Linked DNA regions of Astyanax mexicanus. The protein of the gene in region 2 purifies or fractionates together with the protein of the main gene of each other region. This does not show direct contact. Links are inferred from orthologs where the notes say so. Each region holds a gene or a part of one and is shown on either strand. Other genes may lie near its edges.

What was found. Proteins that work in one complex are often made in the same cells at the same time.
Region 1: the proteins of bifunctional polynucleotide phosphatase/kinase (region 2) and xrcc4 purify together in Homo sapiens (co-immunoprecipitation; 5 studies listed by BioGRID and IntAct, counting the BioPlex papers as one, with this or other methods). This does not show direct contact. The link is inferred for Astyanax mexicanus from reciprocal best matches to the Homo sapiens genes PNKP and XRCC4.

The regions. Positions count from the first base shown.
Region 1 is NC_064427.1:68,092-76,161, reverse strand, and holds the start of xrcc4 (DNA repair protein XRCC4), read right to left. Parts: upstream 3,390-8,070; 5' UTR 3,329-3,389; intron 1-3,328. Other genes in the region: tmem167a (protein kish-A), read left to right, coding at 3,390-3,464, 3,873-3,982, 5,261-5,295, 5,399-5,469.
Region 2 is NC_064425.1:32,501,178-32,508,557, reverse strand, and holds the start of bifunctional polynucleotide phosphatase/kinase, read right to left. Parts: upstream 3,267-7,380; 5' UTR 3,117-3,266; exon of another isoform or gene 3,090-3,116; intron 2,884-3,089; 5' UTR 2,830-2,883; coding exon 2,709-2,829; intron 1-2,708. UniProt on the Homo sapiens protein: Plays a key role in the repair of DNA damage, functioning as part of both the non-homologous end-joining (NHEJ) and base excision repair (BER) pathways.

The sequences.
Region 1 (8,070 bases), on a different chromosome or scaffold from region 2:
CAGAAACAGCCATGACAGCGTAGTAAACAGAAACGGAAGAGACCTCCTGCAGCTCTGTCAAAGCCTGGGTCTGTACATTGTCAACGGTAGGACACGAGGGGACTCTTTAGGAAGATACACATTTTGCTCACCTCTTGGGAACAGTACAGTAGATTACATGATCACAGATTTAGATCCTTTCTCTCTCAGTGCATTCACTGTAAAACCACTAACCCCTCTGTCTGACCACAGTCAAATTACTGTGTTCATTAAAAGGACAGAGACTAACAGCACAGCACACACTCAGCCCAGTAAGCTGTACAACATCCGGAGACCATACAGATGGGCCCAAAACAGCACAGAAGAGTTCCAGAAAACAATCAGCACCCAAGAAATTCAAACTCAGTTAGACACCTTTCTGGATACCATATATTATCACAGTAAAGAAGGAGTCAATCTGGCAGTAAAAAATCTAAATACAATATTCAAAAACACATCAGAAAAGGCTAAATTAAAAATTATTAATACATCAAAACCTAAGCTTAAAAAAGAAGATAACTGGTTTGACCAGGAGTGCCAAAACATACGTAAGGAACTAAGGAAATTATCAAATCAAAAGCACCGTGACCCAAAAAACACCCACATACGCCTTCTTTACTGTGAGACATTAAAACAGTATAAACGTACACTCAGAACCAAAAAAGCCCAGCACACTCACAAACAACTGACACTAATTGAGGAGTCAATCAAAACCAATCAATTTTGGGAAAACTGGAACAACCTTAAAAAAAGAGACCGTGAAGTATTGGCTATACAAAATGGAGATATTTGGACGAACCACTTCCAGACACTTTTCAGAAAAATAGAGACAAATTCAAATCCACAGCAAAATAATATAAACAAAAAGCTTAAAAAACTAGAATTAGCTGTTAAAGACAATCAAAACCCATTAGACTTCTCAATTACTGCGCAGGAACTTAAAGAAAAGATTAACAAACTAAAACCAAAGAAAGCAAGTGGGCCAGACGGCATACTAAATGAAATGATAAAAAGTTCAAGTTCTAAATTACAGCTGGCAATTGTGAAATTATTTAACCTGGTTCTGAGTGTAGGTTACTTCCCTGAAATCTGGAACTATGGACTTATAACACCAATCTTTAAAAATGGAGATAAATTCGACCCCAATAATTACAGAGGCATCTGTGTGAACAGTAATCTGGGGAAGTTGATGTGCAGCATCTTAAATTCTAGACTTTTAAACTTCCTTATGGAGCACAATGTCTTGAGTAGAAGTCAGATTGGATTTTTACCAAATTTCCGCACCACTGATCATATTTACACCCTACACACCCTAATTGATAAATATGTTACCCAAAATAAATCCAAAATTTTTGCATGTTTTATTGACTTTAAAAAAGCATTTGATTCAATCTGGCACCAAGGATTATTATACACTCTGCTAGAGAGCGGTGTAGGGGGTAAAACATATGATCTAATTAAATCAATGTACACTGGAAACAGATGCGGAATAAAAATTGGCAGCAAACAAACAAACTCCATCTCTCAGGAGCGCGGAGTGAGACAGGGCTGCTGCTTGAGTCCAACATTATTCAATATTTATATTAACCAATTGGCAAAAATATTAGAGAAGTCTGCAGCCCCGGGTCTCACTCTGCACGACTCAGAGATCAAATTCCTGCTCTACGCAGACGACCTGGTCCTGCTGTCCCCCACAGAACAGGGTCTACAGCAGAACCTGGACCTGCTGGAGCAGTACTGCCAGACCTGGGCCCTGGCAGTAAACCTAAAAAAGACAAATATTTTAGTATTTCAAAAAAGATCCAGATCTCAGGGGCAAAAGCACATATTTAAATTAGGTACAAATAATATTGAATATTCAAAAAACTACAATTATTTAGGTATTACAATCAGTTCATCTGGAAACTTTACATTGGCAGTGAATGAACTGAAAGGAAAAGCACGCAGAGCTTTCTACGCCATAAAACAACAAATTCCTGTAGAAATTCCAATTAGAATTTGGTTAAAAATATTTGAGTTTGTAATTCAACCTATTGCCCTTTATGGCAGTGAAGTGTGGGGTCCGCTTACAAACCAAGAATTTAGTAAATGGGACAAACATCCAATTGAGACCCTGCATGCAGAATTCTGTAAAATTATTCTGAAGGTTCACAGAAACACCCCAAACAACGCATGCAGGGCAGAATTAGGCCAATTTCCACTGATTTTAAAAATACAAAAAAGGGCAATCAAATTCTGGACACATTTACAACACAGCGACCCCCACTCTTACCATTATAAATCTCTGCAGTACCAAGAGTTGAGCAAAGACACCAGTCCCCTCACTCAGCTGGTCCTGAAGCACAGTTCTACACTCACACACATTAACACACTTACACACACAGCTCTAACACACACTAACACCCCACACACTCAGGACCAGACACCAATCAGATTCAACCAAATTACAAAACAACTCCAAAAAAACTACATCAGCTATTGGGAAACTCAAACTAAATCTCAGAGTAAACTACAGTGTTATTCGGCCCTAAACCGTCAGTACAGAGCAGCGGAATACCTGAGCACCCTGACTGACCCCAAACTGAGGTCCACCCTGACCAGGTACAGACTCAGTGCCCACAGCCTGGCCATAGAGACGGGCAGGCACAAGAAATCCTGGCTGCCCAAAGAGCAGAGAGTGTGCCCACACTGCCCACTGAACAGACCAGAGACAGAGCTGCACTTCCTTACAGAATGTCCCAAATATTCCCAGATTAGAACCCAATTCTACACCAAATTCACCCACAAATTACCTGCATTTAAAAACATCCCCGATCCAGAAAAACTCCCCTACCTGCTGGGGGAACACAGTGAGTGCTGCACTCTGGCAGCGCAGTACGTCCAGGCCTGCCACAGCCTGAGGGACAGTGAGTGACCACAGATACACTGCTGTACAGAACTACAAGCTCTATTACTCTTTATTATAAATCATATGTTTTTTTTTTTTTTTTTTTTTTTTTTTTTTTTTTCTTATAATAATTAATTTAATTGTTTACTTAAACTTGTGTTCAAATTTACCTGTACAGTTATCTTATGTTAAATTTTGTCAGGAATATATATATATACTTGTTAATCACAGCTTTGGCAATACAAATGTGAAAATTTGTCATGCTAATAAAGCAACTTTGAATTTGAATTTGAATTTGAGTAAAGAGAGTGAAAGGAAAGAGAAGGAAAGTGTTAGAGAGTGAGAGTATAAAGAGTGAGAGTATAAAGAGTGAGAGTATAGAGAGTGAGAGTATAAAGAGTGAGAGGAGTGTTAGTGTTTTACCTGTGGGTCAGCAGGGTGTTAGCATTAGCCTCAGCTTGATTTCTCTGTTTACTCTGTGCAGATGAGACGCGCTGTAGTGTCGTCATTTCCTCTGTGTACAGGAAGTGTGAGGTGGCTTACCGGAGCTGTGGAAATGGTGAGAAAACCGAAACATTTCTTTATTTAATCCCGGATTAAATTGATTTACTAAACGGAGCGCTAAAATTAATATCTTCCCGATGGCGCGCGGAGCTTCTCCCAGAACATCCCGCTGCAGAACCGCCGGGAAACACTAACCTTAGCCCATTAGCTTTAGCCCGTTAGCTTTAGCATTAGCTCGTTAGTTCTGATTAATATTAAAGTTTTTCTCTGTAGAATAAATCTGATTCTACATTAGAACCCCGAGTTACATCTACTAAATATTATCATTAATAATCAACAGCCTGTTTAACATTAAACTAAAGTTTATTTCACCTTGAACCTAAACACTGCAATAAAGAGTGTAAGTTATATTGTATACTGCAATTATTAATCTATGTAACTAATGTTTGTCTATTTTTTGCAGTCTGCAATTTTTAATTTCCAGAGTTTACTGACGGTAATTCTGCTGCTGATCTGTACCTGCGCTTATATCCGAGCTTTAGCTCCCAGCCTGCTGGACAAGAATAAAACAGGGTATGTATCTAAAACAAGATCGTGTACTTTTTATTCATCCTAAAAATAAGCGAAATAAAATGATATTTGTCTTTACATATTTATTTATTTAAAAAATGTTGGACATTATAATTGTTGGACAGTCATAATTAAACACTAAAATAAAGTATGTTTTGGTTTAGAATCTTAAATAAAAAAAAAATAAGGCATCAATATATTTAAGAGGTTTGTCAAATGATAGATCCTTGGAAAAAAATAACATAGATATTTTGCAAAGATAGTGTTTTATTTTTGGGAGAAACTTTAGATCTTAATCTGTGCGTTTGTGTAAAGGAGTGTGTTTCAATCCAGATATAAATATATTTCTGCGTTCCGACGGCTATTAGATTATTAAAGCTGGTAATGCTGCTAGAGGTAACAGTAATGTTAAGAAAAAAAAAAAAAGAATATGTATTTTGGGGCGGCTACCACAAAGCTTTAGAATGGTTTTGAAAAATGTTAGTCTGGAGCTGTAATGTCAAAGCTGCATTTACCGGTTTTACCTATTCTGCTGTTTTGCAGTGTTTAAAGAACGGTTCTTCAGACTCTTGTCTCGTTTTTAGACTTGGTTTTCTAGGGAACCCAAAGTTGTTTTTCTGAGATGTTTCTGAAAAAACCTGGGGTACTTTTATAGAGTATGCAGGTAATGTTGGTTGGATGGCAGATGTTTTTTTTTTTGTTGTTGTTGTTCTGGTAAAACTGTGTGTAATGGATGAATCAGAGTTTATTAAATGTTTTGCTGCACTGTATCTGTTCTGATAAAGACTGAGATGTTCCAAATGTTTGTTTGGTTCTGGTGAAACTGGCCGGGTTTATATGGGCTTTATATTCCAGTCGGCTGTAGATATTTCTGGCGAGGTCCGGCGCCTCCGGAGAGGGATGTCTCTCTTCTAACCCTGATCCTGCTCATCTCTGCAGGAAGATGATTTAATGAGAGCTTAATTCTCCTTGGCATTAAGCCAGGAGCTACAGATACAGAGCGGCTGTGTTGAATTCTGTTTCCATAAGAAGTTAACGGTATTTACAGTTCTCAACATTAAAACTAACGGAATGTACTTTTTAATTTACCTTTAATCAGATTTTACTCACCGGAGAAATGTGCTTCCCACTATAAAAACTACTGATGACTGTTAATCATTTGGGTAACTGTTAATAGTGTAATCAATATCTACTAATTAACATAAATAACATTGTAAATAATGATGCGTGTGTAATATTTAATAATACAGTTCTCTTACTCTCTGTTTTCTACCCCAACAGATTTCTAGGAATTTTCTGGAAATGTGCAAGAATAGGTATGTTATTCTGTATGGGTTCCAAACACCTTGAGAATGTGTGTTTGTGTGTGTGAGTGTACAGTGTAGGTCTACATTATTTAATGCATTGTTTTGTTTGCAGGTGAGCGGAAGAGTCCGTACGTGGCGTGCTGCTGTATCATCATGGCGTTCACCATTTTATTCTCGGAATAGCAGAAGTTGAAGAGCGTTGGCTGAGGATGGATGGATCAGAAATGGAGGGATTTAGGAAGAAGACATCTCTGCGGGAGGGGCTGTGTGATGTGTCGGCGTTTGGGCTGGTTCTGTGCGGTGTTTTCTTTGCTGTGTTCTGCAGCGCGGGGGTTCTGTTAAAGGACAGGAACTGCTTTTGAAGTAAAAGTTGTGCATTTTTCACTCTGACTGTTTTGTAAACATGAATTATTGTTATTGTTATTTGTGTCCAAAAGCTCCCATTATCTCAGGCCCAGAACCACGTAATGAAACGTGGTGGGAGAAGCCGTGGTTCAGTCCAGAGCTGCTCGTGAACGAGTTGCACAGAGATCTCTGACCAGTCCATAAATCTCATCCTGCAGCGACTGTGTTTTCAGCTGTGTGAGTTAACGTTCAAGCGGCTCTACTAAATAAAGTCTGACTTTCTCTCGTCCAAGTCTGAACTCAGTTTATTAAACCTCTTGCTTAACCGCTCTCTCTCTCTTTTTTTATACAGTATATTGCCTTAAAAACCTCAACTACTCATCAGTGTCTTTATTTTATATATATATATATATATATATATATATATATATTCATACATACACAGGAGAGTACAGGAGTGCGCTGTGAGTTTTGGGGGTGTGGGGGTTGTTCACCCCCTCTCGTGGTAAATTGGAACCAGCGCTGGGTTATGAATGGAGCTTTGTGTGGGTATTGTGTAATGAAACCCCTGCAGCTTTAATGTTTGTAAAATTGAATAATAAACGCGGGGAGATCTGAGCTGGCAGCGGCTCGGCGCTGATTCTGTGTGGGGTAATTTTCCTTCGCGTGGGCATACATCAGCCCAGCAGTGCCCGAGTGCGAGTGGTAAACTCTGGACAATCAGCAGATCCACTGTTTGAAGATTGCTGTGTTTACGCTTCCAGAGGGGCATCAGGAGGGTCCAGCTAAACCAGATCAAGCTGTGGCTCTACAGAGCTCAAACATTTACTGTTCTGCTCTTTTACAGTCACAACACTAGTGTTCATGTATGTATTATATATGTATATATTTGTGTGTGTGTTCGTGTATAGATGCAAGTATATAAAACTATATCATATATTTTGTCGCATAGAGTTGGATGATCTGAAGGGTTTGAGTCGATATCCAAAGTTTGAGTTCTCAAATTCTTACTGAAGAGACTTTATTATGCTGTTAATGAATTAATTTAATAATGAACTGAGGAATGCTTTATACTGTTTTAGTTTTTTTATTTACTGGGAGATTAAGCTAATATCCAGTTTAACCCAGTATAACAAGCATCTAGAAGTAAATTCTTCACTTTTCAACTAATACATTTCCATGTTTTTTCCAGACCGTACAGTCTTTAAAATATCAGTGCAGACGGGACACGATGGATTTGCCTAAACATTCAATTATTTTTAACACCAAATTAGCTTTTCTTAGACGATAAACTGAAACACTGAGATTTGTAGAGCAATAATTTCCATGACTTTTCCAAAACTTTCTGGGTATTTTTATTTTTCCAAAACTTATCCAGGCCTAGAATTTGCTGTTTTCAAATTCCATGACTTTTCCAGGTTTTTCATGACCGTATGAACTCTGTCTTCAGTTTGTTGGTTTGGTCAGTGGTGGGTTAGTGGTTGGAGCAGAAGCGGGTTGTGGGTTTGATGCCCAGGTTTCTGCACTGTTGTGCTCCAAGAGTGAAATCTTTCAGTTTAGAAACCAAATCAGTGAAATAATCATCAAATTATATTTTTAATGTTTCTGTAAACCAGATAAAATTCTTACTTTTATTTAAATGTTTTGTCTGAATTATGTTTAACTCTCCCAACTTTTAACAATAATACCAAACATAAGCTTGTGACAAAAACTCCCTAAATATCTTGTCTGTTATCCATAACAATAATATAAAACAATATTGGTATACGCAGTGTTACTGGTGCTGATCAGATATTTGAGGTGGGAAATGTAAAAAATTGTGTTTTTGGAGAATCCAGCTCCTCTGTTCTCCTTCTGAACTGGAATGAAGTCTCGTTGGCTTTACTGGGTTCTGATTGGCTCCATATGGTTTTACTTCCCCTGACATCCCTGATCCAAACCTGAGGGGGTATTTTAACAGGCCCAGTATGAAGACCCCCCCAAAATACACTGAGCTGCAGCACAGGGCCAAGGGGGCAACACAGCGGGCACTAACTGATCTGTGTATCTGTGAAAATCTTAATTACTTTGAGAGACAGAGCACAGCAACTATTTATATTAAAACATCTGGGTTATTTGCATTAGTTCAGTAGTTGGGTAAACTGCAGATATTAGGTTTTCGGTAGTTTCCCACAGTGCTCAGTGTATCAGAATTACCAATAACTTTAATACTTTAAAACAATATCGATAGACAATATAGTTCAGTAGACTGGAAATTAACAAACATTTTTGTACAAACTGGTTTATCATAATATCAGAATAATAATAAATAGAGCCGGCGGTTCTGCTGGATCTGACCCGGCGGTTCTGCTGGATCTGAGCCGGTTCACTGGGACGCTGTTTCATCCTCCAGCTCAGTGCCCTCAGATCAATCTTACTAATAATAAAAACAAAAACATT
Region 2 (7,380 bases):
CTTCTTTTCGAGCTGCTGCTGATGCAGCATCGCCTAGCAATGCAGCATTGGGAGGAAAGCGCAGCGGCTCGACTCTGGTACATCAGCTCACAGACGCCCTGTGCTGCAGACATCACCCCGACTATGATGTGGGGAGAAAGCGCCATCTACCCACCCGGAGGGAGCAGGGCCAATTTTGCTCCCTCTCTGAGCGCCGGCAGCTTGATGGCAAAGCTGCATGAGCGGGGGATCAAACCTGCGACCTCCCGCCCCTAGTGGCAGCGCTTTAGACCGCTGGACCACTCGGTGCCACTCTCCATTTTCTTAAGATCATCCTTGAATTAAAGGAGCTTTGATGTAATATTCAGTTTCATCATGGGCATTCATTTACAGAAAAGCCAACTTTATTATTCTCTGTCCACGACATAATTTTCTTGTGGCCATGACTTAATTATCTCATTTACATGCCTTAATTATCTCTTTCCCAACCATTAGTATGTTGTTCCCTAGCCTTAATAAGTCGTAGCCACACATTAGGATGTTGTTCCCACTCCTTAAAAAGTTGTGCCCTTGCCTTTTTTTTTTTTTACATTATGTCACCATAATTTCCACCGATTAGGATTTCGTTCCAACACCGTAATGAGTCGTGGCCATGACTTAATTTTCTCATTCACACACTTTAATTATCTAATTTCTACCCATTAGGATCTTGTTCCCACTCCTTCATAAGTCGTGGACATGCATTAGTACCTTGTTCCCATGCCTTAATAAGTTGTGGCCACAATTTAATTTTCTCATTCCCACCAATTAGAAACTCATTCCTTTGCCTTAATTATCTCATTCCCACTCTTTAGTATCTCATTCCTATGCCTTCATAAGTCATGGCCACAACTTAATTATCTCAGTCACAAACATTAATTATCTCATTCCCACCCATTAGGATCTCGTTCCCACAGCCTAATAAGACATTGCCATGCATTAGTATCTAGTTCCCATGCCTTAATAAGTCATGGCCACAACTTAATTATCTCATTCACACACCTTACTTATCTCATTGCCACCCAGTAGAATCTCATTCCCACGCATCTTGTTCCCATGCCTACATTTTTTTCGTGGCTACGACTTAATTATCTTATTCCCACCCATTAGAGTGTTGTCCCACGCCTTAATAAGTTTCGGGAACGCATTAGCATTTTGTTCCCACAGGTTAGTAAGCTGTGGCCACAACTTAATTATCTTATTCCCACCCGTTAGGATGTCATTCCCACACCTTAATAAGTTGTTGCCACACATTAGTATCTCGTTCCAATGCCTTCATAAGCTGTGTCCAAGCCTTCATTTTCTCATTTCCGCCCATTAGGATCTCGTTCTCACGCCTAAATAAGTGGTGGCCATGTCTTAGTTTTCTCATTCACACGCCTTAATTATTTCATTCCCACCTGTTAGTATCTTGTTCCCATGTCTTAATAAGTGGTGGCCATGCTATATTTTTTTGTTAAACATGATGTCACCTTAGGGCATACCTGTCAAGTTTTGGACTTAAAAATAAGGGATTTTTTCCGCCGCCCCAACAGCCCAAACGAGGGAAAAAAAAAAAAAAATATATATATATATATATATATTATATATATATATATATATATATATATATATATATATATATATATATATATATTTATTTATTTATTTATTTAATAGATTTAAAATTGAAATTGAAGGGTGCACAAATTTACAAAAAGGACATGGATCAGATATATTCCATAAGTAAATAATAGTCCTAAGGGGCCTACACAATTAATAATCTTTCATTAATACTTCTTTCTATTGTTCAGTCCACTCCTGATCAGTTCAGTTAATTTCAGCCCTCTCCACATTTTCTCTCTCTCCAGCTCAACCATCTCTTCCACCCCTTCTAAATAATACATTACATTACATTATAATACATTACCACAATACTTGAGATTTAAACAAATTCTAACAAACCCTAAAACTAGCCCTGAACTAATAGAGTTTGGAAATGATAGTTATTGGCTGATCAGGCACATCAGGGCAGGGCATTATATATATATATATATATATATATATATATATATATATATATATATATATATATATATATATATATATATATATATATATTTTTTTTTTTTTTTTTTTTTTTTTTTTTTTTTTTCTCAAACCCTGAATATCTATCTAGCTAATTCTAAAGTTAAGCTGTATTTTATTAAACACACAGTGGGTTTAATTTATGTTTTGATTCAGAGAAGAGTCTTTTTAACCAGCTATCAGAAACAATCTCATCACAGTTTACATGGTTAATTACCTTTCTTTTAGAAAAATCTCCGTATATCCAGATTAGTTTTAACGACAGCTGCTCCGACTAGCTGCCTGAACTCACAGCGAGGGGAGGGGCGGGGCTTCCCGCACACTAAACTGCGCTCCGCAAAACCAGCTAGCTGATTGGCTGTTTCTCCTGAAAGGCGGGACTTTCTCCTTGAACCGGCACCACGATTGGTTAAGAGACACACAGCGGTCAGTGCATTGTCGCCTGTGGCCTATATATATTTTTTATTTAGTATAATACGGGAAATTTACGGGAAAATACTAAAACGGGAGGACGGCGGGAAAGAGGAATAAAATACGGTAGTTTCCCGGCCAAAACGGGAGACTTGACAGGTATGCCTTAGGGTCTCTGTATAATACAGAAGAGGCTGTAAGGGTGTATTTACCCTGATGTCTGGAACACTGTTTATCCTTCACTCCAGACTCAGGACCCCGACCCAGGATCAGGGCGCGTCCATCACACAGCTCCACCCGGGCTCCTGAGGGACTCAGTAGTGCACACTTCATTCCGAGGAGTGCGGTCGTTTACTTATCTGTTCCCTACGCTCTACGACCAGCAACCTGTAGTTAAATAAAAAGGATTTAATACACTTATTCCTCACTTATCATTTATTTTACGGCTTTAAATCACATCAGAATTATACATATTAATATTAATATAATCCTACATCACAGAACATTTAAATACACTTAGCATATCTTAGCTAACTAACACTAAACTAAACAGAAACAGCTCTCCACCACCTTCAAGCAGCTAACATACTAACCAGCCAAACGCGAAACAGCGCACTGACCAGATTACGACTTTAAAACGCCTTCAAGACTTTAAAAACGACAGAAAACAAGGATAATAGTTAGTCGGCTAACAAACTATCTAAACAGCTACACAACGCGTCCCTTTCAACAGCCCACTCTGTCCCAATCCAGCCCTCGCTCACTTCCCATACGCACTTCAAAGCGCAGGAAAAAACACAGAAAGGAAATAGGGGGGTTACTTTCTTTACAACACATCTAAAATCTCAGTTTATCACCCGTCCTGATAAATATTATTGTTTTAAATACTTTTTTGACCTTTTAAACGCAAGATAAAGTAGAACAAACAATAATACAGTGCGTTATATTGATTTATTAACGTTAACATTAAAAAAGAACAAAAGAGACATCCCTTTAAAATAATAATAAATAGATTTTCCCAAGTGGAAGTCAAGCCACAGCTGTTTTAATGGCAAGACTACCTATTTCCGGTACCGCCCGCTATGCCGTATTATTATAATCAGATAATGCAACTGCGCACCGCTAGAGAGAGCCCGCGAGAAAGTCCTTCATAAATAGAGAAAAATAGAGCTAAACGGCAAAAACTTTATTTAAAAACATAACTAACTATTTACCCTGTATATTAATTGTATTTTGGAAAGTACAATGAAGTATTTTACTAAAAAAGTAAAGAAATCTAGTCTATATTGTTAAATGTCTCTACAGTAAACGGGTTTTATTCAGTAAAGGCGCTAGCATTGCTGCTAGTCAGTGTTGATTGGTTGGTGAGTTCCTACTGAAGGTATTGCTCCTAAGTCTCCTAAAAAAAACTTTAGCATGTCGTTATAACGAGAAACTCTCGTTTTTATGAGCTTTAATATAGTTTAAACGACAAAGTATGTCGTAACAACATAGTATGTTGTAATTATAAAACAAACATAGCATTAGTATGAGAAACTAACTCGTTGTTATGAGTTACTGTGTCGTATTTATAAAATAAATGTCATAATTACGAGAAAATATCTTGTTTTTTGAGATATTGTAATAATAAAATAAACATCCCCTAATTTAGAGAAACTACCTATTTTTAAAAATCACTGTCGTAATTATAAAATACATATCCCATTATTATGAAAAAGTATCTTGTTTTTAAGTAATGTTGTTAAAACAACATTGTATGTCGTAATTATAAAATAAACATCTTGTAATTATAAGAAATCTGTTTTTTGTAAGTTACTATGTCGTACTTCAGAAAAAAAAGGGCTTCTTGTTATGACACGCTAAAGCTTTTTTTTTTTTTTTTATCATACTTGGCACCAATATTATTGCGCAATACTCTTAAACCACTGCATTGAGTCTGTTAATATGGCCCAGTGCTGTGTTCCCTGCTGTATTAATAGATCCGAGTCTAAAAAGACGACCCAACTGTCTCTGAACTGCGTGGGTGCTAACTATGAGATAGCTAACGCTAGCAACCACAGAGAAAAAAGACCCCTTTTGGATATGATTGATATATGCTAGCTATGGATTTAGTACAGTGTCTCTTACTGTATACAGATATTTAGTGCTTCTTTTGCCTTAGATGTTACTCAGTCAAAGTAATTATATCTTTAGCTAGCCTAGCCTGTGGCGCTAACGCTAACTAACTAAGTTAGTTAGCTCGCTTGCTAATGGCAAAGCCAAACTGCCTTTTTCCGATATCCTTGATATATGCTGTGGGTTTATTGCGATACTTTTTTGCTATAAAGTCACATTTTTGTGTTCTGTTCTTTGTTGCCCAACTACAGCAAAGATAAACTCTGATTTTGCTCAGTTGCTTCATATGAACTTATTAATTCTGGAGCGCCCTCTGGAGGCTGAATAAACAGGGTAAACGGTCTGGAGTGGGTGCTCTTCTCTATATAGACTCTCTGTTGAACGAAGGGGAGGAGGAGAGGGGTCTGGACTAAAATTTCCTACAGATTAATGATCTATCAGTTCCTCCTGCAGGCAGTTAAGAGAAAATCATTCTGGTAAAATTACAGCACAGCATAAATATATCACGATTTAACGTCGGAATTAGCTGGATAAACCTGTAATATTAAGAAGTACAGTTCATTCTACAGCCAGTAGGACAGCACCTCAAATCAAACCATGTAAGTAAAGCGAAAGTGAATACATCATTCATTTCTGGGTTTGAGTTCCAATCGGACTTTGAAACTTTTTGGAAATTAAATTATATTTATATTTTTTATAATACTTTATTACGAAAGGGACATGTACAAATTGTAGCATTTATTTGTAGCATATATTTGAACATACACAGGATCTCCACCCTCTTATGAACATATGCATAACTGTTTGAAAGATTTATGGTTTAAAAAGATTTACAAAACATGAATTATCTAAGAGTCAACATGTCCCAACGTGAAGTATTTTTTTATTTTTATTTTAAACAGATATTTTATGAATTGTGTGTCTGAATTCTCACCAGCAAATGATTTCACTTTTTTACTGTAGAGTAATTTACCACAGCATGACTAAAACTCGAATGTGAGAAATCCCAGAGCATAAAAAGATAGATATTGAGTTAAAGTCTGGAATTTAAAATAAGTTAATTTTTACTTGAAAATTGTTTCAGCATTACAGATATATAAAAGGAACATATATCAATAGATACTTTAGAAAAGAGTAAAAGTACATCAACAGGTCAACACAATGTATAATTGTATCTCTATAGATCAACACATTCACAACCCAGAGAGAGAGAGAGAGAGAGAGAGTGCAAATGACATGTAAATCAATAGGATCCAATGCAACTGGATAGTATCTTTTAATTTGGCTACATCAACAGAGTCCAGTTAACAGTTTGTTGTCCAGCTCCAGTGACGTGATCAGCTCCAGCCTGTCTGGGCAGCACGTTCTTATCATGGTGTCTGTGAGAAGATGAAACAGAAGAAAAAAAAAAGGTGTATGGGAAGATCTTAACTAGAATTCATTATGGTCCAGTTAGAGGAAATTTCGAAAGGCCAAGGTCTGGACCGATTGTTAACTTGTGTTATAATTAGGTGCTATATCCTGTAAGGTTGTTTGAAATGAATGATAAAAAAATATATAATAATAATAATAATAATAATAATAATAATAATAATAATAATAATAATAATAAATATAGCCGCAAGCGGCAATCATCGGGTTCAAGCACCAACTTGCACAATGGTGCCTACTGGAGCATTGAATGGTGATGTGTAAGAAGGTCTAATATGATTGGAGATGCCCTGTCACATTTAGAAATTATCAAGTTTTTCACCTGTTATTAATGTTGAGCAGAGGCCTTTCAACCTGATCAGTGCTTAAATTCACATGTAAATCTAGTGAACTTTGTAGGATATTCATTAAGTGAGTTAGAACTAGTCAAAAGGTGTCTACATGTTATTGGTATTGATCAGGTGGCTTCAACCAGAATGTTCACAAAGTGGTATTCAGATTGACCTTTGAACCTTTGCAGAACAAGCTGAAATGTTTGACCAAACAAGTTTAAATTAACACAAAGGAGTGAATGTTCTGATATGACATGTAATTACGAAGTTATTATAAATCTAGTTCTGAATTAAATGGCGCTTCATCAAGCACCAACTAGCACAATGGTGCCTACTAGAGCATAGGATGGTGATGTGTAAGAAGGTCTAACACAATTGGAGACATTCTGTCACATTTAGAAATGATCAAAAGTCTTTCACCTGTTATTAATGTTGAGAAGAGGCACAAAGGAGTGAATGTTCTGATATGACATGTAATGTCAAGTTATTCTTAATCTAGTTCTGTATTAAATGGCGCTTCATCAGAGTGATATTGTACAGAGGTCTTTAACATTGTGAGATTACAGCAAATACTGCAGAGTTACAGCAATTTAGGTTAGAAATTCCAAGGACGCACAGATTGCTTGATGCCTGGAGAGTATTGTATGTGAAATTTTCACAAATGTTTTTAATGAACATTTACCTAGAGACTCTACAGTGTGCAGCAAGACTGAAATGGAGGTGATAGGCCAAATATCCAGAGAGTAGTTTCAATATAGCTATTTTCAAACAATTAGCAATTATGAATGAACAAAGCACTTTTTAAACATAGTTGTATTGAGAAATTTGTCAGAGCCACTGTACTAAATATGGCAAAAACAATTAGATGTCAAAATAGTACAGCATGATTGACATATACTCGTTTTTTTGGAACAGCGCCCCCCAGTGGGCGGATTGTTTCAGCACTTTGCAGGTCACTACAGTGTCTCCACCTGAACATAACTGCCAAATATCATCCAGATTGGGC